4 linked regions of the Drosophila melanogaster genome follow. The protein of the gene in region 4 purifies or fractionates together with the protein of the main gene of each other region. This does not show direct contact. Each region holds a gene or a part of one and is shown on either strand. Other genes may lie near its edges. The genes, in order: Not1, Patr-1, PAN3 and roq.

The links.
Region 1: the proteins of roq (region 4) and Not1 purify together in Drosophila melanogaster (affinity purification with western blotting, with the first as the bait; one study listed by BioGRID). This does not show direct contact.
Region 2: the proteins of roq (region 4) and Patr-1 purify together in Drosophila melanogaster (affinity purification with western blotting, with the first as the bait; one study listed by BioGRID). This does not show direct contact.
Region 3: the proteins of roq (region 4) and PAN3 purify together in Drosophila melanogaster (affinity purification with western blotting, with the first as the bait; one study listed by BioGRID). This does not show direct contact.

Annotation. Positions count from the first base shown.
Region 1 is NT_033778.4:9,573,662-9,578,500, forward strand, and holds the start of Not1 (Not1), read right to left. Parts: upstream 3,035-4,839; 5' UTR 2,844-3,034; coding exon 2,517-2,843; intron 2,458-2,516; coding exon 1,927-2,457; intron 1,872-1,926; coding exon 1,409-1,871; intron 1,347-1,408; coding exon 126-1,346; intron 40-125; coding exon 1-39.
Region 2 is NT_033777.3:17,041,623-17,048,957, reverse strand, and holds Patr-1 (protein associated with topo II related - 1), read right to left. Parts: upstream 5,395-7,335; 5' UTR 5,309-5,394; coding exon 5,270-5,308; intron 5,100-5,269; coding exon 4,286-5,099; intron 4,056-4,285; coding exon 2,527-4,055; intron 2,410-2,526; coding exon 2,164-2,409; intron 2,108-2,163; coding exon 1,829-2,107; 3' UTR 537-1,828; downstream 1-536. Other genes in the region: bdwf (bedwarfed), read left to right, coding at 5,896-6,288, 6,345-6,920; Trm7-32 (tRNA methyltransferase 7-32), read right to left, coding at 7,091-7,195, 7,253-7,335.
Region 3 is NT_037436.4:3,069,512-3,074,142, forward strand, and holds the start of PAN3 (Poly(A) specific ribonuclease subunit PAN3), read left to right. Parts: upstream 1-1,621; 5' UTR 1,622-1,796; intron 1,797-3,035; exon of another isoform or gene 3,036-3,249; intron 3,250-3,569; 5' UTR 3,570-3,933; coding exon of another isoform or gene 3,934-3,967; intron 3,968-4,631. Other genes in the region: CG32486 (uncharacterized protein), read right to left, coding at 651-1,028. UniProt on the Drosophila melanogaster protein: Regulatory subunit of the poly(A)-nuclease (PAN) deadenylation complex, one of two cytoplasmic mRNA deadenylases involved in general and miRNA-mediated mRNA turnover.
Region 4 is NT_037436.4:16,375,564-16,380,367, reverse strand, and holds the start of roq (roquin), read left to right. Parts: upstream 1-1,801; 5' UTR 1,802-1,936; intron 1,937-3,129; 5' UTR 3,130-3,130; coding exon 3,131-3,292; intron 3,293-3,357; coding exon 3,358-4,804. Other genes in the region: Agpat4 (1-Acylglycerol-3-phosphate O-acyltransferase 4), read left to right, coding at 133-668, 741-1,098, 1,159-1,241.

The sequences.
Region 1 (4,839 bases), on a different chromosome or scaffold from region 4:
AGGGATTGGCTCCCGGAGTCATCAGACGCGATGGAGAAGCTGAAATTGCACGTAGAATTTCGTTAGATAGGATTAAGAGGCATCTGTGATAGATTATGCACTCATTGCCTATGAATGCCACTTACTTAGCATGTTTCCAAAATTAAATGCTCCGTTCGGGCCGCTGAGGTTGAGGCCGGCTAAGTTGTTGGACATATTCGTTAGCGGATCCATTCCTGGTCCAAACATCTGCGCGTTGAGGTTTCCGGAGAACGGTTGCTGCGGTGGCGGAGGGACTATGCCTCCAGGCAGATCCATACCACGATGGCCGCGCAGAATTGTTGGTGGAGGCGGCGGAACCAATCCTGGCTGCTGCTGCTGTTGGGCACGCGCCTTGTTAGCCATAATCGCCACGTTCGCGGTCATTTGCATGATGACTTCGACCATCTCCGGCTGCATGCAGTTATTGATGCACGTTTGCAGACAGTTGATCATGGTGGTAACTGTCTCGGGCAAAAGCTGCGCCTGCTTGGGAGGCAGCTGATCCTCTGGCACTTTTGCGTTGATAACCTGCGGGCAGCGGCGGTGCAGAACCTTGATTATAGCCTGCATAAAAGGCTCTCCATGTTCGCGAATTTTATCGGTAAGCCACTTTTCCAGCTTCAGGTACTCGCGCCGAGAGGCAAGGCAAGCCAGGTCGATAATGAATAAAAATGAACGGGCGTTGAGCAGCGCTGATAGCGCTTTTAAATCCTGGGCAAGATCCAGGATGCGCGACAGTTTCACCTGATCGAACTCATTGCCTCGGAGATACCACTCGGACATAGCATTCATGATATTGGAACGAAGTTGGAAGTTGTTCGAGCTCCAGGCGCTGGCCAAGATCACGTTCGAGTTGGGATGGTTGCCAAGGAACGTTGGTATCAGTTGGTTAAACAGATCCTGACGCAGTGGCGTCATAGGCGGACTTGTGTTCAATAAGGCCAAAAATAGCACATCGGGACAGTTCTGCGCTGGGAACTTGAATAGCTCATGGACCTGCGTATAGTATCCCTTGTCCGCAATGGAGAGCAGCACCTCCACCAGGTGAAGCGACTTCCAGGACGAGATCTCCTTATTGTCCGCATCCGGAGCCGTCTTAAGCACATCCAACGCTGGCTGGCTAAATACAAAGTCGGCGAAGGAAAAGAGATCCGGGTTCTTCAGCATTGTCGCGATAAGCGACAGCTGACCTTCCGTGTTTGCCCAGTGACGGTAAATGCATTCTGGATGTGGAAATATGTTAGAGCCAGTGGCCAGCCGAAGGATGGTGAGCAAAAGCTCCAAACCGATGCGATCCTTCAGCACGAACTCGGGATGATCAAGTTCTAAAAATTAAGAATGATATTCCTATAGATTGGCGATTGCGAAGCAATTATCTAGCTATTACCCATGCACACGTCCTTCCAGTTGAGCTGAGGCACCACCTCCTTGAGCGCCTGCACAAAGACATCTGGCTTCCAAGTTTGCGTGGCCTCCGTCGTCTCCTTCTTGTCCTTCTTATCACTGGACGAATTGCCATCGCTGCCATCGTTGTTGTTACTGCTGCCCGGGTTCTGTTGCTGCGGAGTGATTTGTGTCTGCGAAGAGCCACTGCTGTTGCTGCCACCGCCCTGTCCCTGACCAGGCCAGAAGTTCGCCGGCGTCGGTAGATTCACATTACAATCGAGCAGGGAGGAGTGCCGTCGGCACATAAGACCCACGATCTTGGCGACATCTTTGGACTGGAGCTCAGCGCGTTCTCGCTCGCGGGAACACAAATGATTCTTACACTCTTCAACGCTCGATGTAAATTCATAACCGATTTCAAGGATTAGATTAATCCAAGATGTGTCCATAATATTATTTTTGCCCTGCAACACAACATTCAATTAGCGAATTGTCTTTTTCAATGAGTGTCTTACGCACCTGGTTGGTGAATATTATCTCGCTTAAATGGTCATAAATATCCTCGATTCCCACCTCGTTCAAAGCATCTGCTTCGAAACTGGAGCTGTTGCTATTAGTCGTCGCTTCGGCCTCCGCATCCGTTTCGCTGGCACCTGCTCCCGCAATCGTCGCCGTCGTCGAGCCGTAAAGGAACGGCGCTAGAACCAGCGGTACCGCCTGGCGCGGAAACTCCTCACGAAGCTTGATCAAAAACTGTGCTTCCACCTGCGGTTGTACGTACTCGCTAAGGCAGCACAACAAATACTGCAGTAGATCGAAGGAGATCTCCCGGAGACCGCTGTCGGCTGGGCCGGTGCCTTTATTACCCAAGTAAGAGTCTATAAGTTCGCTGAGGCTACCTTTTAGGTTGTTCCTGGCAGAATGTTTGAGTTCTGTGTACGAGGAGTGGGTCAAGGCCAAGGCAAAGACGCACTCACAAACCTTGTTGATGCCGGTCAGTCGGGCGACCTGGCCAACGAGATCCGCTACCGCAACAGGCTTCAGGGACTGCTTAGGAATGAGTATCCATAAGTAATCAACACATTGTGGGCATTGTAAACTCAACTTACCTTCTGGTTGCTGGCGAAGAACTGGTCAAAAGCGTAGCAGATGTTGGACACAAACGATGAACTGTGAAGCTGACGCTCCAACTGGATGCCCAGGAGCTTCGCCTGCAGCTGGACCGTAACTGATGGCACGAGATCGCTGAAGTTGATCACGGAGAACAGGTGGCGCAGGCTGCTGCGATCCGCTTCCAGGCCGTGCTCTTTAACGAACTGCAAGATGTCGTAAATGCTATCAGTAATGTATGGTTTAGAATCAAAGAGCTGCATTGCGTAGGGTTTGGAAGCCAATATAAGTGCCTTGACAGCGACTGCCCGCAATCTGGGACACATATCACTGTATAAGGGACAGTGTATGTTTCAAACGATTCCTCAGATTCTGCGGTGACCGGGATTTTTTTTTATGTGATTTTCATCGCAAACTTGGAAATTTTGACAGGTTCTATTATGTTCTGTGAGTGTCTCAACTTTTCTCTGTACAATTGGATATGTGTTTACGGATACAGGGCAAGATGTAAAGTAACATTTTGGAGGGATTATTTCTAACTCCAGGCAACTGTTTTCAAAAGTAAATCCATTAAGTCATTATTTCTTGCCCGCTTAAAAACTTTACCCAATTGGCTTTTTAAAAGCGCAACCAGAGGGTTAAAACATGAATTTTATCATTGGGAATTCCAGTTTAGGTGCACCATTGTTGGGCTCACAGGTTTCTGAGATTATCTTGAATGCTATAACTAAATGGAAGACTATATCTCAAATTGGGCTATCGTTAAGTTAGTTAATGTATTTTCTATCCGATAATTTCTCCATGGAATCCAACAAATTCCTAGACCTTTCTTACTATAAATTCCGTTGGGTTATCCTAGTACTTCATTCCAACATTGAATATCAGTGAAAATTTGGTAATCCTACTGAGTTCGAATAACTTGAAAACTTATCAGGCTTTTTAAATGGCAGATATAGATTGTTGAGAATTTCAAAATACTGAAGTATATGACTCTGTTTTGTTATCATTTTTTTTTATCATTTTTTTTAATTTTTGAGGAATATGCCATTTACTGTCAAGAAAACGGGATCTGTAGCATAGTTTGTCCCACAAACGATTACTTTTTAGGGGATTGTTGGGCAAATGGTGCCATTCTAAGCCAAGTATTTGTTATGATACTAATTTGAATGGCAAAACTTTTCTAGGAGGCTAGATATCCCCCTCCCTCCCTACGGATCCAAAACTGTTGAAATATTTGATCCGGAGCTCGGAGTCCGGAATCAAGGCCTCACTCCGAACGGGGGAGCGAGACAACAGCTTTGGCCCCGCCGTCGCAGCTGCTCCACAACAAATTACACACGCGCCCTCTCGCTCGCACACGTTGGCGAAACGTTACATGGGTAAGGAGAGAAGAGAGCATGACGGTGCGCGAAAGGAAGGGGGTCACAGGAAAAAGTGCGACATATTGCAACTCTAGCGAAAAGAAAGCGGCCGCAATTGATATTCCCACGCAATTTGTCCCACGAACTTACTATTCAATTTGGTTTCTCTCGTTTGGCAATGAAAAAACAGAAGTTTCGGGGCCGAAAAGCCCTGCGCTTGGCTTGGGCTTCCCAATTCGAATTTCGCAATTCGATTTCGCACTACTACGCTGCAAAATTCACACTGCCATCAACTCACGAAACACGTTTGTGGCTAAGCGCACACAATTGGCCTGGTTTTACACATTCTATAAAACTTTTAGCTTAAACAAAACGCTCACAAAACGCGCAACGCCGTGCAGAGAAATTTTTTCAGCTGCCTTTACCAAAAAACTGTAATGGCGTCGGCAAAAATGCACGAGCGAGTGAAATGGCAATAGCCCATTCGTGAGTGCGAACAATTGGCAACTCTGGTTGGCCAGGTGCGATATGTTGTCGGTTTGGCAACACTAAACCCCCGCCCCCTACAAAATGTTGTTGTTATTGTTGACAAAATGAATTGGAAATGGTTCATGGAAACTTTGGTAGAATAACTTGGGCACCTACCTGATTTATTTGCTCGCTGCTCTCATTAAAATTTCGCTTGTTCACGTGCTTGACCAGATTTCGAATGTGCGTTGGCGGTGTCTTCAGTTGGCTCTCTACGTTCATAATTCTACGTATCAGTTGTCAATTCCTCAGCGGATGTTTCTTGTTGCTGTTGTTTTTGTTGGAGGCCACCAGAATTTTTTGTTCAGCACACACGTTTAGCGTGCACTGGTATTGGAGATTAGAGATATTTGACGTATTCGCTGTTGCTTCTTGGCGCTTTTCATTTCACCTACGGCGCAATTTGTTTTTGTCTCTGCCTTCCTTGGTTTTT
Region 2 (7,335 bases), on a different chromosome or scaffold from region 4:
TGTGGGGTGGGATCGGGAGAGTGGGCTTCGCATCCCTTCGCGCTGGGCGGACTGCTGCCGACAAGTTGTCGTCTTGGTGACCGTCGCCAGTGGTTGGCGTCGCCGACTCAGAAATTTGCAACAATTCCCGAGCGCGCCGCCGCCACTTGTTACGCACTTTGGCGCCTCCGCACAACAAAATGTCCCTTACGGACAGGCAACTGCCGACACTTCGACGCTTGATTCTGCGCCAAAAACAAAAACAGACAGACACAAAACACGTTCGCCATTAATGATGCACCCCCCCCCCCCCCCGGCACAATTGTTTATAGAAATCAAATGATTAATATATTATTATAGAAGAAAAACCGTTTAATAGCACAAGCGTAAACACCAATTGGAAGCAAATCAATAAATTTGAAGGAAAGCTAAAAAAATCCATAAATAAAATATCATTGAAATGGACAACTAATGTGTTTTTATCAGACTGCTTACTAAACTAAATATCATCTTTTTCAAAACCCCCCCAAAAAAATAAGGTGTTTTAGTTTCGGTGTGTTCTGTGAAATGGTATTTTTTATTTATTATACTCTCGGAAATTATATCAATTTAAAAAAATTTACTTTTGAATCAGCGAACATATTTATAGGAAAAGGTTTGAAGTGTTTGTATGTGATAAATACAAATTAAACTACAATTATTGTATATGTGTTTGCAATCTTAGACAGCTATCGTATTTTGACTCTTGTTTGCTAAAAAAAAGCATAGTTTTAAAGTATTTGCAAGACGTTTGCAGTCGAGTAGAATTTTTTTCAGATACAAAACATGAATTTCAATAAAAAAAATGAATTAAACAACATTGAATGATGGTGTAGATACAATTAAAAACGAAATAAAATTAAAATGCTCCACAACGGATTTTTACAACAAATATCTATCCGTTGCGTTACAGAAGTTTTGTGAAAATTGCTGTTTTCTAATTTCAAATTTGTATTTGTGTGTTAAACTAATTCTTTCCGATCATCGGAACTTCGTTTATGTTTAAAAGTCAAAATGTATCACAATTTTGATCATTTTGTTATAATAAATACGGCTGCACCTGTCACAATGCTAATTATTTAGTACACATTTATGCTGAATGTCTCGACTATATTTAATGGGTCTTGCACAAATTTGATTCAATGAAACCCAAAAGGTAGTATAGTAAAATTTCATTAAACCGATATTTACAAATACCAGAAAATAAGCAGATACTTAAGGATGCACATTTAAATGAGTATGCATGGATCGCGCATTAAATCGGTGCTTTTAAATTTTAAAACGTATTTATGATATTCCTTTTACAATCGTGATTACAAGATATAGGAGAGCCCAGTTGTTAATTCGATGACAAAAAAAAAAAAAGAATAATTTGTGGGGTGAATTATTCTTTATAAATCTCTACAGAAAATGCCGGAAAAGTACTCCTTATCGAATATAAAATGATATAAGTATGTACAATGAGCAAAACCTACCATTCGATATTATATTTATAAAACATGATTTCCTCTCTCTACCTTTCTTGTACAGTGCACACAATTTTGGATAAAAGAACGTTTCTAACAAACTATTATCAAAATTTATTGACAGTCGAGTACTTTCTCAATTTCAGTATGAGATTTTTATACCCTGTATCAATATTTTTGTGTAGTATGCGTAAATGTAAAAACGATCGTACATATGTAAGTTTTGGATACATATTCTATACAAACATATGCGTAATTGAGTAAAGCAAAGTGAACTCGGCTATATAATTTCACAATTATTTGAAACGCTTCAATCAAGTTAAATGAAAATCCGTCAAAGCAACCTAATCAATTTGATGCCTGGCTTCAGTTATTAATGCTAAGAGTGCATCCAGTTTAAGATCTTTAAACCGTTCAAAGTGGTCCATAAGTGGCTGAATTGCATCCGACTCAATGGCTGCCGAGATGGTCTGGTTTTGAATAGTGCGATTGAGGCAGGATGCAACCTGTGCCAGAAATTCTCGCCACTTTTGCCTGTTCTCCTCGCTAAGAGTTGCGTCAGTTCGCGAGACGTAGATTTCCTCGGCGCGAAGTATCAGGGCAACCAGCGAAAGGATTCCAAACTGCCAATTTAATAATTAGTACGCGTATCTATTACTTAATACTGAGGATAACTTACGCGACTGCAAAAAATTCCAGCAAGTTTCTTGTCATTCAGCGTAATAGCAGATGAAATGCTCACTAGGAGTTCGAAAGTAGCTTTGTTAACGTGTTTTTTAAACTCTGGGTAAAGAGCGTACAAGACGCCTTCAACGTCGTCCTTGTCCTTTTTCACCACTGTTTGTAGGGAACAGAAGACGCCGCTCCACACGACCCAGCGAATGCTTTGATCCGCAATAAAGGGCATTATGCGTCTAATAAGTATCTGCAAAGGAAAGATTGATTTAAATAAAATAGTGAGTTTCATGCGTATAGCACTAGAACATAAATCGAATTCTATTTGGTTGCACTTGTTAAAATTAGTATAAGAAAAAGTACACACCTTTCCCTTGCGCACATTCATCATGGCGATAACCTTGTCGAAGGCCAGACCTGCCTTTAATTTATTGACCAACGCAGCTTTCGTCTCTACCTCATAGTTGAACTTGTTCTTTAGTTGCGGATTCATGGTTTGCGGATTGGCGGCTTCAGCAGCACGTTCTTCGGGCGTTTTATTGGCCATTTCCAGCTGCTCAAGGGCTGCGATCCGTTCGGCTTCCTTTTTCTTTTTCAGCTCAATGGTGGCCATCACTTCTGGGCTTTCCAAATCCTCCAACTTCAGCAGATAGCGATACAGTGTTTCAATCAGAAGCAAAATGTGTCGCGACTTCCGCATGCTACTGGGATTTACATCATGGCTCGCGGAGGTGGGCAGCGGAGTCGAGCTTTTTGATGAAGAAGTTGCGTTGGCTTCAGCAGCGGCATTTGATTCACCACTCATAATGTCAGCATCGATAATTTTTCGCGGAGCTGTCACACTTCCGTACTGTAGCTTTCCCAGTGAGTTCTCGAACTTCAGTGGTGAGAATATATAGCCTGTCAGGTTGTTGTTGTTACCACCTGATCCATTGTTCGTGTTGCCTGACGTGCTGTTGGTGTTCTCCGAGTTGCGTCGCTCACGTCCGTGTCCATTGCGAGTACCATTCTTGTTGCCCAACTGTACGAGAATAAGCTGCGCATGGCCGCGTGGCTGAGTAAGCGGATGATTCAACTGGTTGTCCTTGTGCGCCTGACTGTTGCGCATTTGCCCGTTCTGTTGGGCCTTGCGCTCCCTGAACACCGTGTAGTAATAGTCGTCGATATACGGCGTGTCCGTATTCAGCTGCGAAAGCTGGATTCCGATTAGCCAGTGCTTGTCGCGCGTGCTCATTAGGTTGGCATATTCATCGTACTCTTCCAGCGGGTAATTTCCTGTACCATCTGGACGTCGTCCTTGTTGCTGCTGTTGCGCCTGCGATCTCTGACGATCGCTGGCCACGGATCCTGCTCTGCTCTGTTGCATTTGGCGTACAACAGCAGCCTGTTGAAGCAGCGGATGGTTTTGCTGGATCTCTTGCACTAGTCGCATGTTGAACATGTTATACATGGAATTCGGTGGCTGCTGACCTAATAGACTTGTGGCAGCTTGCAGCGGGTGCGGCGGCATTCGCGGTGGCAGCATCTGGTGCGGATGGGGAGGTTGCATAAAAGCCCCTGGATGGATTCCAGCGGCGCGCATCGCATTGAAGCTTGGATGCATCGCGAAATTGTTCAGGGCCGTGGGCAGAGCTTGTGGATTGGGTAGAGGTCGCTGGTTGCCGCCGGGCAGTGGAAAGTTGTGCGGCATGTGCTGCTGCATTAGAGGATGCTGGGGCAATTGCGGAATATTCCCGGGCAGACCTTGCGGGTAAATAAATCCGGGCGGCACTCGGTTGCCACCAATACCGTTTAGTTGTTGCTGCGACGATGGCGTGGGCAGTAGCTCGGGTCCGGGGAAACCCAAATTTGGCCTCGGTGGAGAGGTGTGCGGCGTGCCCAAGAAGCCAGGGGGTACTGCAATGAATTGTTAAATGGTGTTATTTTCATATGTCGCAGAAATCTATCAGGGACTTGAAGTTTGTTCCTTAAATGGTTAAATCTGTCTTAAAAATTGTCCCCAAAAATAGATTCGTAAGAAATAAATATTTTTAGGAATTATACTTTTTGTTGGACATGTTTTCTTTTTAAATACTGAGGCCTGTTTTTGTATGCATCAATACTTTTTAGTTTTAATATATAATTACCCTTGTGCTGCGCTTGTTGTGGCGGCTGCTGCTGCGACTGTTGTTTCTGATGATGCTGCTGCTGCAACATCTGTTGCTGCAACATGGTTGGTGTAGGCACCTGCTGCCTGTTACCCAGACTAAAATCATCAAACATTTTGCGTTCCGCCTGTTGCTGGCTCTGCTGCTGTTGTTTCGGAATGGCCTGCTGAATGATCATATTGCGCTCTATATCCTCGAGAGTTGTAATTTTTGGAAAAGGCTGTGGATTCAGTGCAAAGTTGGCATTCGCTTCCTGCGGTGGCTTCATTTGTTGTGGTTGGTGCTGCTGATGTTGCTGCTGCTGTGGCTTGAAGGCGCTGCGCATAGGCTCGCGGAACAAATGTTGGTTGTTGGGAAACGGCTGTGATCCCCAGACCCCGGAGTCCAGCTTAATGCGGTTGCTCAGCCCACCGGCTTCGCTATCAGTGGTGAAAGAGGACAGGTCCATGTCGTCCAACTTCATGGAGGAAATGTTTAGCTCCAAGTCCGAGTCCCCTATGTGACGAGACTGTCGGAAGGGGGCATTCAAAGGGGCCGGAGTGGAGCCGCTTGAAGAGGGCGCCGATGATAGCGGATTAGCGTGTCGCAGGAAGGCACCATTTCCCTGATCGGCAAAATCCGTATTTCCACTAGATTCCGCGGGTCGCTTCCGCACCCTTTCGCCATTCCCGCCCAGGCGTACCATCGTCTCATGGGCTTCCTCCCAGTCGCCATTTATAGCGGATCCAAAGGTTTCGTCATTGAGGGCATCGTATTCCGCCTCGACGATGCGTCCATCGCCACCATCTTCGTCCTGGAGAAACAATTGAAGCAAGTAAATTAGACATTCCTACTTTTTCTGCCCCCGGTGGCCTTCGATGCCCCCTTATTTGCCGAGTGAAAAGTGTGCGTTGGGCATTTGCCGACCCCTGTGCGGCCCGCTATCCCGGATATTGCAGCCGCAATGTCGGGACCGCTGCTTACCGGTAGATTCGTGTCAAAGCCGAAAAACGAGTCATCCATGGCGATAAATCTATTGCTTTACAAAAAATTATCATGACTTGTCAGTGACAAGTTGTCACCTCAGCAGTATAGCTGTCAAAATATCGATGGTACTATCGATAGTCTGACGTCGATGGTTTTCTGACTATCGCCACAATACATCAATTTCGCTCGCATATAAATATTATCATATTACAAATGTTGGAATTAACATGCAAATTTAAAATATATATTTTTTTCATACGTTTTTTTTCAATAGGTGAACGACTGAAGATTTGTCTAAATTTATAAGTTTGCATTTTGCTACAGTGATGTTAGAAAAAAATGATGATTTAACCACTGCCAAATTTCGTATGTTGCATATTTATTTATTCAGTTTGGGACTTACCACGACTGGTTAATAAGTCAACAACATTAGATTTTACTGATCAATGAAAAATCTGCCCTAATTAAGGTGCATTTGCACTCCTTCAATGTATTCGATATTTTGAACTAGTTCGAAACTTGAAATCAGCGCCCGCAAGCTCATCCCTAAATTACTAGTTCTTGAACTATTGCTTTGGACGGAACTACGAGCCTGTTTCCTTTTCCAAAACAACTTAGTCGAAATGAAGCGGAAAACGAGCGAGATCTGGTGCTTTTTCCGGGCGGTGGACGACACGTTTGCGGTGTGTAATATCTGCAAGGCGAAGCTCTCTTACAAGACGACCACCACGAATCTAAGCAAGCACATGAACAGGATGCACCCCACATCGGGACTCAACCGGAACTCCAAGTACAAATTCCAGCCGCAGACCACCATCGCCATCGACCGGAACAAAGCCAAGCCGCGCAACTCAACGCAAGAGCTGATATTGTTAGAATTCGTGAAGAAACATCCGCGTCTGCTTCAGAATCCGACGTGGGAAACACGGGGCAATCTGGAGTCGCTGTGGGAGGAACTGTCATCCGAACTTAATAGCCACGGTCCGCCGCGAAAAGATATAGCCACCTGGAGAAGGGTATTCTAACTTACTTTTTTTCTAACCGCTTGCATTATAAGTTGATTTGTTTGTAGGCCTTAAAGGACTGGAAGAGGTTTATCCTGAGAAAGGTGGAAAAGAATGAGATGCAGAACATGCCTTTTGGCACCAGTCTTACTTCGTCGGAGGAAACAATAGCCACACTGTGTAGATTAAACGAGGATGTAAGTCAGATTATTATGAAGGTCTCCGACGATGAAATGCATGAGAATTCCACCACGGAATTTGATGTGGACGAAGTAGAGGATGTGGTCCCGGAAGAAGATGGTGGCGCCCTTCAGACTTCCGCCGAGTACGTTTACGAACCGGAGGAGAACAAAACGGACATTGACCCGCTTTACCTGCAATCTAACAAACGGGCCGCATTGGCCAGCAGTCGACTGGCGGAGGAGGAGACCACACTGCTTGACAAGATTAGCAATAACCTAGAAATGGTGCACGATACCGCCAACAGCGTTCAACTTGCACTCAATGAATTTTTTGTCCTGTACAAGCAGAAGCTGTACGAGGACAAGCGACATCACTTGGCAATTGAACAGTTAATGGCTGAGAAAATAGAACTGAAAAAGAAACTATTGGAAATCGAGCAAAAAAAGCTGTCGCTCAAATAACGGGATATGCACAAAATTAAGTAATATCTTGGTAGTCTTAATAACCTAATCTTTAAATAATCTAAGTTATTCAATATTTTGATTAATTTTATCACATTTCTTTTAGCTTGGCCCAAGCCCACTTAATATACAAATTTAATTTAATTTTTTTGGTTTTATTTTATAAATATTTAGATAATATGGCGTTGTTCATCATAGACTTGCTTTAGAATCTCTTTAAATTCCAGGGGATAAGATGCGTCGTCCATAACAGCATCGTAAACATACTCTAAATTCTGTGGGAAAGATGGTTGAATAAAAAAACAAAGCAAAGTATTAGGCACATCACTTACTGATTTGGATTCATCTGAGGAGGAAGTCTTGCCCTCTTCGGGATCACTCAACCCATTTAAGTCTCCACAGGCTATAAAAGGAA
Region 3 (4,631 bases), about 13 Mb from region 4:
GACGGCAACTGGAACACCGCATCCGGCCGAATGCTGACATTCCGGCCGAATGCTGACATTACACAAAAGTCGCACTGCAACATTGTCCCCAGCTAGCCAGCCACATGCCGAGTCGGCATGTTCATTATGCTTACAATTAAGAACCTATGTACTTATGTATAAGACGAAAACGGAGGACTCGAGTAGCCACTCTCTGACAATAAACTTCATACTGATTTTGAACTTCAAGAAAGTCAGTCGTATTCTTTATTGGAAATCTTCACACTACAACTATCTGCTGAAACTTAAAAACCTTCATACATTTACACATCATATCTTCACAAAAGGCTCCACCCTCGATCACGGACTTAACTCCCGCCCTCGCTCCCCCTCGCACTCTTTCAATGTTTTCAAGGCGAATAATGCAAGAGCGCCCCAGCTAGACGTCTCGCTCTCGCACAGCTGTGTCTTGCTAGGGTGGAGAGAGGGAGAGAGGTGTTTTACTCTTACAGCTGAGCTGCCACGATTTGTTTGTATACAGAATGAGGCGCACACACACACGCGCACTTGCTGTTTTTCTTCTTTCGCTTTTAAAGCTCTTACTTCCTTTTTTTGATTCTAGTTTACAAGGGCTTATAGTTCAAGCCGCTGTAAATAATCCAAAAACTCACCTGGTACATGGCCGTCTTGGGCAAATCCAGGCAGACGGCACAGCACAGGGCATTGGAGATGCGGTGGGCCAGCTTTTCGTGCATTCCCGAGGCGGCTGCGGCACTGGAAAGCAAGCTGCTGCCGCTGCTGCTGGTGGCACCACCGCCCCCTCCGTCCAACAACTGTTTCTTGGCCGGCGGTTCTCCGCTGCCCTGCGTGTCCAGCGGCACGCCCACCACATTGCCGCCGCCCACCGACGAGGAGGACGACGATGTGGAAGAGGAAGAGGCCGAGGAGGCGGAGCTGGTCGTGGCCACCGCCTGGTTGTCGCCCAGGAGCGGTAGGTTCGAGGACGACGGCGGCTGTTGGACCGCCGAACTGGAGGATTCCACCGACATGATTGGAAATTTTCTTGGAATAATGTTTGTTGTGTTTTTCTTTGCCACTCGCTTCGTACACAAACTCCCACACACACGACCACTAAACTACTACACACACACAAGCAATACCCAGTTTGCTCTCTCTCTCTTTCGCTCGCACACTAAGTATGGCACTTTCTTTCAATTGCCACCTTTCCCCGCTGTCCGTGTCGTGTCGTTCTCTTCTGTGTTCTTCCGTTCTGTTCTGTTTGCAAGCTTTTTGTCCGCCGACACGTCCGCTCGCCAAAAAATTTGTTGTCTTTCTAGAGAGTGTTGTGCGGTGTGACCAAATCTTATATTAGGCAAAATACTAGTATAACGTATCGATGTTATTGGCAAAGCCTATCGATGTTTTTCTATTGTCTGTGTTTCTCCAGCCCTGGTTGATCGTTAGCAGGGACACCATCCCCTTTACAAAGTAATAAAATAACAAATATTATTAAATTAACCATTTCAAAATAAAATAGCATTAAAATAATATAGCAAAATCTGCCTTCATATATATAATTTTACAAGTATATTATTGAAAACGAATCCATTCGTGTTTAATGTGCTGCCCTTATATCCGGCAGTACGGAACTCGTCACTCGCGAGATGCGGTCACACTGCTTGCGGCAAACGGAAAACATGTAAGAAATTAAATATTGTGATTTTGTCTTTAAAATGTACAAAAGTTTGACAAAACACAAACGGCAGGTTCTTTATGAAGTCACCTCTCGCAAAGTGAACTATGACTGGTCAGTGGAGGTACGGAAAACGTGGATTAAAGAGCGAAAAATCGCAGTTTTCTCAGCAGACATTTTTGTATCACTTCGCTGTGCGCTGTGTGTTTGGCATTTTTTGTGTTTGTGTGTGTGTGTGCAACAGCGGCATCAATTTGAAAAATAACAAAAACAAATCGTTGGCGTGTTGAACAAAAAACTATACGTATTTGCTATCTGGCTTGCGTTATAAGAACCATTTGGACAAATTGCGTCTTAAAAATTTGGTGACCAAGATGGCTTCAATTTCATTTTCGGTGGTGAATTAAAAACTTTAATGAAAATAAAAACTTAATGAATTGACTTTTAATTCACGTGCAATTATTATGAAAATTTTTGAAAATTAAAATAAAAATATTTCCAAAAACGTTGTAACAAAACTACACTTATAAATTGGCTTTTGGCTTGCTTAGTGAACTTAGTTAATTATTTCCAGCTGTTCCCACTCAAAAAACAAATCGTATACATATGTGTTCTTATTTCCTTTGCTCCTGCTTTTTCTCTTCCCCTTCTTTTCGTTCCCTTCCCCTTTGCGTCCTCTTCCCCTTTTCCTAGCCAGCTGTTTGTCGCGTTCCACAAATATGGCTGGAGTGTGGATCGCGTTTGGAGCCCAGGCTCCCACATTTCTCTATGTGGAACGCAACCTGTGGCCAGCTGTTGGGTCCTGTTGAACTCCCCCCAGCCAAAAACTTACATATGTATATGTATTTATTTTGTGTATATATGCATGTGTGTATAACAACGCCAATTGCTAGGGTTTCTGCAAAACGTCCTGGCCACTTGAAGGTGAAGTGTTACAATACCATAAAGGGGTTTCGCCATTTTTAAAAGTTATTTTATTACATTATATTCAATAATGGAACTTCAGTAGCGTGTCAAAGGATTTCTCTTTGAAAGAATACGTATTTCATATCCAGCATTTATCAGCTGAAAAACATGAGGGACTTTATACAATCTGTTAAATTTCTTTGCATAAAATGATATATATGTTAATTAAAATTATTAACAATAGCTAAAGTCCATGTAACCCCTTGAGCGCGGATGTTTTCCCAACACTCCTCGAATGGAATCCACATCCACTTTGTTGCACACACAGCTGGCAGTTGTTGTTTTTATCCGACCTCCTGTGCACACACACACACAGACGGACGTACATGTATACAACACTCGGGGGTCGTTTGTGGACTCCATTTGGCTTGGCTGTTGGATCTTCTTTGCGTTTTCTTCATTCGTGCAGCGCCAATCGCGCGGTGTGTGTGTTGCGTTTTTCTTATTTGCAAAATCGTTGGAAAATGGTAATGAAAATGTATACAATATAGCAACAGCAGCTCCTTTCAAGGAAATATCCTCATTAAAGTAATTACGGTACTGAAAGCAATTCAAAAGCTAACAATGAAACAGGCAATTAACTACACAATATGTTGGCTTAGGTTCAGTGTGTATGTATTTTGGATGGTGTTAAATATAAAACTCTAAAAATATGAGTAACCAAGTGCGAAATGAAAAAAAGTGTGGAAAACGTAAGCAAATATGCGCGCAATTGTGTCTGTATATGTGTAGGAAAAAGCGTCCTCGTACACCCACACAGACTCACTTTGGAAAATTTAATGAAATCCAAGCTATACCGCCCTCTCACTCCCACTCACTGTTGCGTTTCGGGATTTCATTTTGTCGCCCCGTTTTGCAAAAACAAACAACTGTTTTTCGCTTACCGTTACTTATTTTAATTCAATGTTCTTCTCTTTCTCGCTTTTTACAGTCGACGCGCCTCAATTGTTAATCATTTGCCCGAAAATGCATTTCAACTGCAAGAAACTTACGTGAAAAAGTGAAAGAAAAAAATATTTTCGAAACGTACAATGTGAAAATGTGTTATTTGAAACTTAGCAGTTAAGCGCGGATTGTATGTATTATTTAAATTTTTGTTTCAATATTTTCTACAAAATTATTAAAAAGAACTACAAAAAAATCGAAAACAAAACGAAAAAACCAAGAAAAAGTTTTTAACTCAGTGCACATTAAAACGAAAACAAACGCAAAAACAAAGCGTAACGAAACGAGAAGGACCACGAAAAGAAAGAGAGCGCACGAGGAATTGGCGAAGGCGGGAGCGAAAGAGAAAAATGTCAACGTTCTTGAACAATTTCTTCCCGGCAGGTAAGCAAAAACAAAGCCAGAAAAGCAAAGGAAATCAAACACAAGCAAAGACAGGGAACGTAAGAGCAGAACCACAGCTGGTGGCAGGAGCGTATTGGAGAGGGGTTGGCGGGGTGAAATGACCCCCCCATCAAACAAGTTGTTCATATACATAGTTATTCTATGATTGTAATAATAAAATTGGTATGTTTATGAGCTTAACTCAGTGATTAATCATAGATCAGCTTTCTTATATTGATCGGTTAGTACGTTATTTTATCTGCCCCTTTTTAAATCCTTCGCACGCCTCTGGCTGGGTGGCATTTAATTGAAAGTCACCTTTGGCATATTTCATAAGCGTTCTCACCGGGGTCATCCTGTAATTCAATTCTGCGCCTCTCTTGTTTTTTCTCTCCACTGGCGGCATGTAAATTGAATTTTCCTACCGAAGCGCATATTGTGATTATTGGCAATTACATGGACGTGACCGAGGAACAAAGGAGGCGAAGGAGATAAGTAGGCAGAGAATGCGAGAGTGAGAGAGAGAGGGATAGGGACGGGATGGAGTAGCGGCCTAGAACAGAGAATCTTGGCATAATCAATCTGCCCCAAAACAATCTATACACTTCCCTTTAATTACGTACATTCCTCGCTGCAATACCATCGATTATCGTTTTGTTATTCC
Region 4 (4,804 bases):
TTTTCCTGATTAGATTAGGTATATGCAAGGTCTTCTTTTGTATAAATCACTTAGTTTTTACATTTGATGATTAAATGAAATAACGTAAAAGTGGTACTTTTTGATAATTTAAAAACTATCCTCACACTTTAGTCCTTGTCTGTGTGGCGGAATGGTATGCGGGCAGCAAGCTGAGGGTGTACATCGATCCCCAGGACGAGCAGAAGTTCTTCGGCAAGGAGCATGGACTGCTCCTGATGAACCACACGTACGAGATCGACTGGCTGACCGCCTGGATGATCACCGACAAGCTGGGCAATCTGGGAGGCACCAAGGCGTATGCCAAGAAGATGCTGCGCTATGTTCCGGTCCTGGGATGGGTCTGGTGGATGGCCGAGTTCATCTTCCTTGACCGCAACTTCGAGAAGGACAAGGTGGTGATCAAGACGCAGCTGAAGGAGGTCTTCTCCTATCCGGATCCCGTGTGGCTACTGCTGAACGCGGAGGGCACCCGTTTCACACCCGCCAAACACGAGCTGTCAGTCAAGTTCGCCGAGGAGCGAGGTCTTCCCCTCCTCAAGCACCATCTGATTCCGCGCACTAAGGGATTCACGACCAGTCTGCCCACCATGCGTGGCATCTGTCCTGCCATCTACGACATCAATCTGGCCTTCAAGAAGAATGCCGAGGTGAGAACTTAAGATCTCATATATATGTATATATATTTTAAATTACATTTTCGAACTTGAATTAACTTACAGCCAAAGCCCACCATGCTGTCCCAGTTGAACGGAGAGCCCGTGGAACCGTACATGTACATTCGCCGAGTGCCACTGGACGTGGTTCCCGATGACGAGAAGGAGGCCGCCGCCTGGATGCAGGACTTCTTTGCGGAAAAGGACAAGATCATCGACAGCTTCCACGAGACCGGCAGCTTCTTTAAGAATTCCGGAGTCAAGGAGGTGCCCGAGAAAATCTACAAGCCGCGCCTGAGCACGCTCCTCAACTTCTTGGGCTGGGCCACCTTTGCCGTCCTGTGCATTCTGCACTACTTGGTCACCTCGCTGGTTGCCGGCAACTGGTTTGGCTTCATCACGGTTCTTTCCATTTTGGGAGGATGTAAGTTGAGAAATTCTAGTTTCGAGGATATGTGCTTAACTTTACAACTTGTACTTCCAGTCTATAGCCTCATGGAATACGCTGTGAATGCTTCGAAGATCAGCAAAGCCTCTGCGTATGGAGCAGCTGCTGCCAAGAAATAGATTTTCATACCTGAGTTTTATAAACTCTGCAACAGTTTTGGAATATACGACCTATGGACTAATAACTCAACTGCACTGACCATAGAAATATTATGTACATTGAATATGTACGATAAACCATTGTAGTTAACTGAATAAAATAACATTTTATGCGAAATTCACTTACAGGAACTAAATGATTCTTAGAGGCAAATATTTAATATGTGTTTGTACATCCAATCGAAAAAATTTCTCACAAATTCACTTACAAGAACTAAAAGTTTCTTTGAGGCAAATATTTAATGTGTTTGTACATTAAATCGAAAAGATTTCTCAGTCTTCTACCACTTATATAAACGTCGTAGTTACAAAGTTTAAACTTCTTGTACTTTTGTTTTTCTAATTAGAACATGTGTTGTATATTTTAGCCATTTATACAATAAATGCTATAAAATTAGGTTATCGAATTTCAAATATAGATAGTGATGTCCAAAACGATAACTGCTTATCGCAATCAGCTGAGAGCGCCTAGTGCGACCCTTCGTGTAAGCAGTGCAGCAAGACATTCAACGTTTTCAGCCAGCTGGATTCAGTATTCCGCCGCTCGTCACCTGCGGTCATACTGATTGCAACTTCCCAAATTTCTTACAATAATCCAATGAAAATTAAAAAACATATTTTCGTACCTTTAATGCAATAATATGTGCATTTTGAAGGTGAGTCAGTGCAGCACCAGTGCCAAAAATTGCATTAAACCAAGTTTGTGCGAAATCCACGAAGCAGAGTGAAAAGTGAAACGTAACGAAAAAAACGTTGAGAGAGATTTTCGTGTAGTTCATTGTTTTTCCTGGGGGATTACTTGGTTTCAAGGACCTTTCACTGGCCTGTGGCCCTACTTTTCGAAGGTGCCATTCCTTGGGTTGGCACAACCTATAGGATACTGCCCGAAATTCCCTTTGTTCGCGTCTCGAAAGAAAGCGGATGCTTGATGACGTTGAAAGCGAGTTACGTTTGTGTCCCCCATAAAGGCAGTTATGCGTGTGTGTGTGAGTGGCTCTCTCTCTCTGGGGTCTCAAAAGGAATATTAGCGATCCTTTGAGCACTTGAAGATCCGAAAAAGTTCTCCAGGAAGTGCAACTGGGGTATAAAAATATATAGTTGCTATATATACATACAGATATACTTGCATGCGTGTACAAATGCCCTCGCACACAAACAGCAGCAGACGAGTGTGCGTGTGTGTCTGTGTGGGGGGAGCACGCGAGTGTGTGCGTGTGGCGACAGCTGACGTTGGGGGTAAGGCAAGAAGAAGAAAAAGACGAAAGCGAAACTTTTTACTGTGCCACTTTTGATCGTTGTAAAAGGAAAATAAGACTATCTTGAGTCACGTCACTTTCATCGTTACATCAATTCGATAATAACGAGCATATTTTATGGGATATTAGATCTTTACACGATTTACCCTTTTATAGATCGATAATTTAAGTATTTATAGGTGGGCTCTATACAGATCTTATTGTGATAGATTCCATTAAGACTTATAGATGTAGGCTGCCACAAGTCTGTTTCAAATATTATACTTCATTCTCAGAAAAAACTAATGTTTTCCATAAAGTTAAATCTGATAAGGATATACATAAATTGAATTACCCATAGAGCATATGTGTGAACATTTGTAGCATGATTTCTTTACCCAAGATAAGAAACATTACTCATTCATGCTATGAAATTTTAAAGGCAGTATTACTTCCGCCATTCCTACAATATATATGAATAGAATATGTTTAACAAGCCTGATTCGGGTAATTTGTTCCGATTTCAATATCACCAAGATTCCATTAAAATAAGATTTTCCTTACCTTTTGGCTTATTTTATTTTAATTGGTATTTTTATGTAATTTACGCACAGCATGCCGATTCAGGCTCCCTCATGGACAGATTTTCTGAACTGTCCCATCTGCTGCAATGAATTCGCGGCCAGCCAGCGATGTCCGGTCAGTCTGGGCTGCGGGCACACCATCTGCAAGCTATGCCTGACGACCCTCTACAACCGGCAGTGTCCCTTCGATCAGGTGAGTTGAACTCCATTTAAGTATTGCGCCAACCCTAAACGATCTGCCCTAATCTCTTTTCTCAGACCGTGATTGTCAGTGACATCGACAATTTGCCCATCAACCATGCCTTGCTCCAGTTGGTCAAGGACTCGGAGCTCCTCGAGCTGGCACCACCACCGCCCAGTGTGCAGAAGCTGGAGCCGGAGCACCTTAAGTGTTACCAACTGGGTCAGCGGTGCATCGAGGAGCTGGCTTTGCACTTGAAGTCCTTCCTCAACCTGAACGGAAATGGCAATCTTCTAACTCGACCCATGTTACGGAAACTGGTTACTCTGGTCAACTGCCAGCTGATGGAGGAGGAGGGACGGGTGAGAGCGCTTCGAGCAGCCAGATCCCTAGGCGAACGCACAGTCACCGAGCTGATCCTGCAGCACCAAAATCCCCAGCAGTTGAGCTCAAATCTGTGGGCTGCAGTGCGGACAAGAGGATGCCAGTTCCTTGGACCCGCCATGCAGGAGGAGGTGCTCAAACTGGTGCTGCTGGCCTTGGAGGAGGGATCAGCGCTTTCGCGCAAAGTGCTGGTCATGTTCGTCGTGCAGCGACTAGAGCCGAAGTTTCCCCAGGCCTCCAAGACGAGTATCGGACATGTGGTACAGCTGCTCTACCGCGCCAGCTGCTTCAAGGTGTCCAAGCGGGAGGCGGACTCGTCGTTGATGCAGCTCAAAGAGGAATTCCGTACGTATGACGCCCTACGCCGGGAGCACGATGCCCAAATCGTTCAGATAGCCACCGAGGCGGGTCTGCGAATTGCACCGGAACAATGGTCTTCCCTATTGTATGGCGACGTGATGCATAAAAGCCACATGCAGAGCATCATCGATAAGCTGCAGACGCCAAGCTCCTTTGCGCAATCAGTCCAGGAATTGGTCATCGCCTTGCAGCGGACCAGCGATCCTGCGAAGCTATCCAGTTTGCATCATCATCTGAAGTACCTGGCCAATATTGATCCCTGTGCGGAGGTTGCCCCGTGGTCGGTTTTGGCTGAGGCCTTGGATGCAGTGCGGCATTCGGTCGTTGGACTGGTGAACTTCCTTCAGCACCACGGAGTGCGCAAGGCGCAGGACGGCATCAGTGGCGGTGGCAGTGGTGGGACGACCAATAGCAATCCGAAGTACAAGATCAGCTTATGCAGGGACTTGAATGTGCGGCGGGTGTGTCCCCGAGGTTCTAGCTGTACCTTTGCCCATTCCCAGGAGGAGGTAGAACGCTATCGTGCACGGAATCGAGGAAAACATATGAAGACACCGTTGGCGCTGCAGGGACCTCCAGCGGTAGGCGTAGGAGCCATAAAGAAACCACTAGGCGAGCAGGAGGGACCGCCTCTAGGTAACATGCCACCCATGTTACCTATGTCGCCTATGCATTATATGGGCTCTCCTAGGGGATATCTGGATCCCAGCTTGGGACTTTCGCCAGGTGGTGGTCTCCCGCCGTCGCATCACAGTCCCATTACCAGGCTCATAGTGCCGA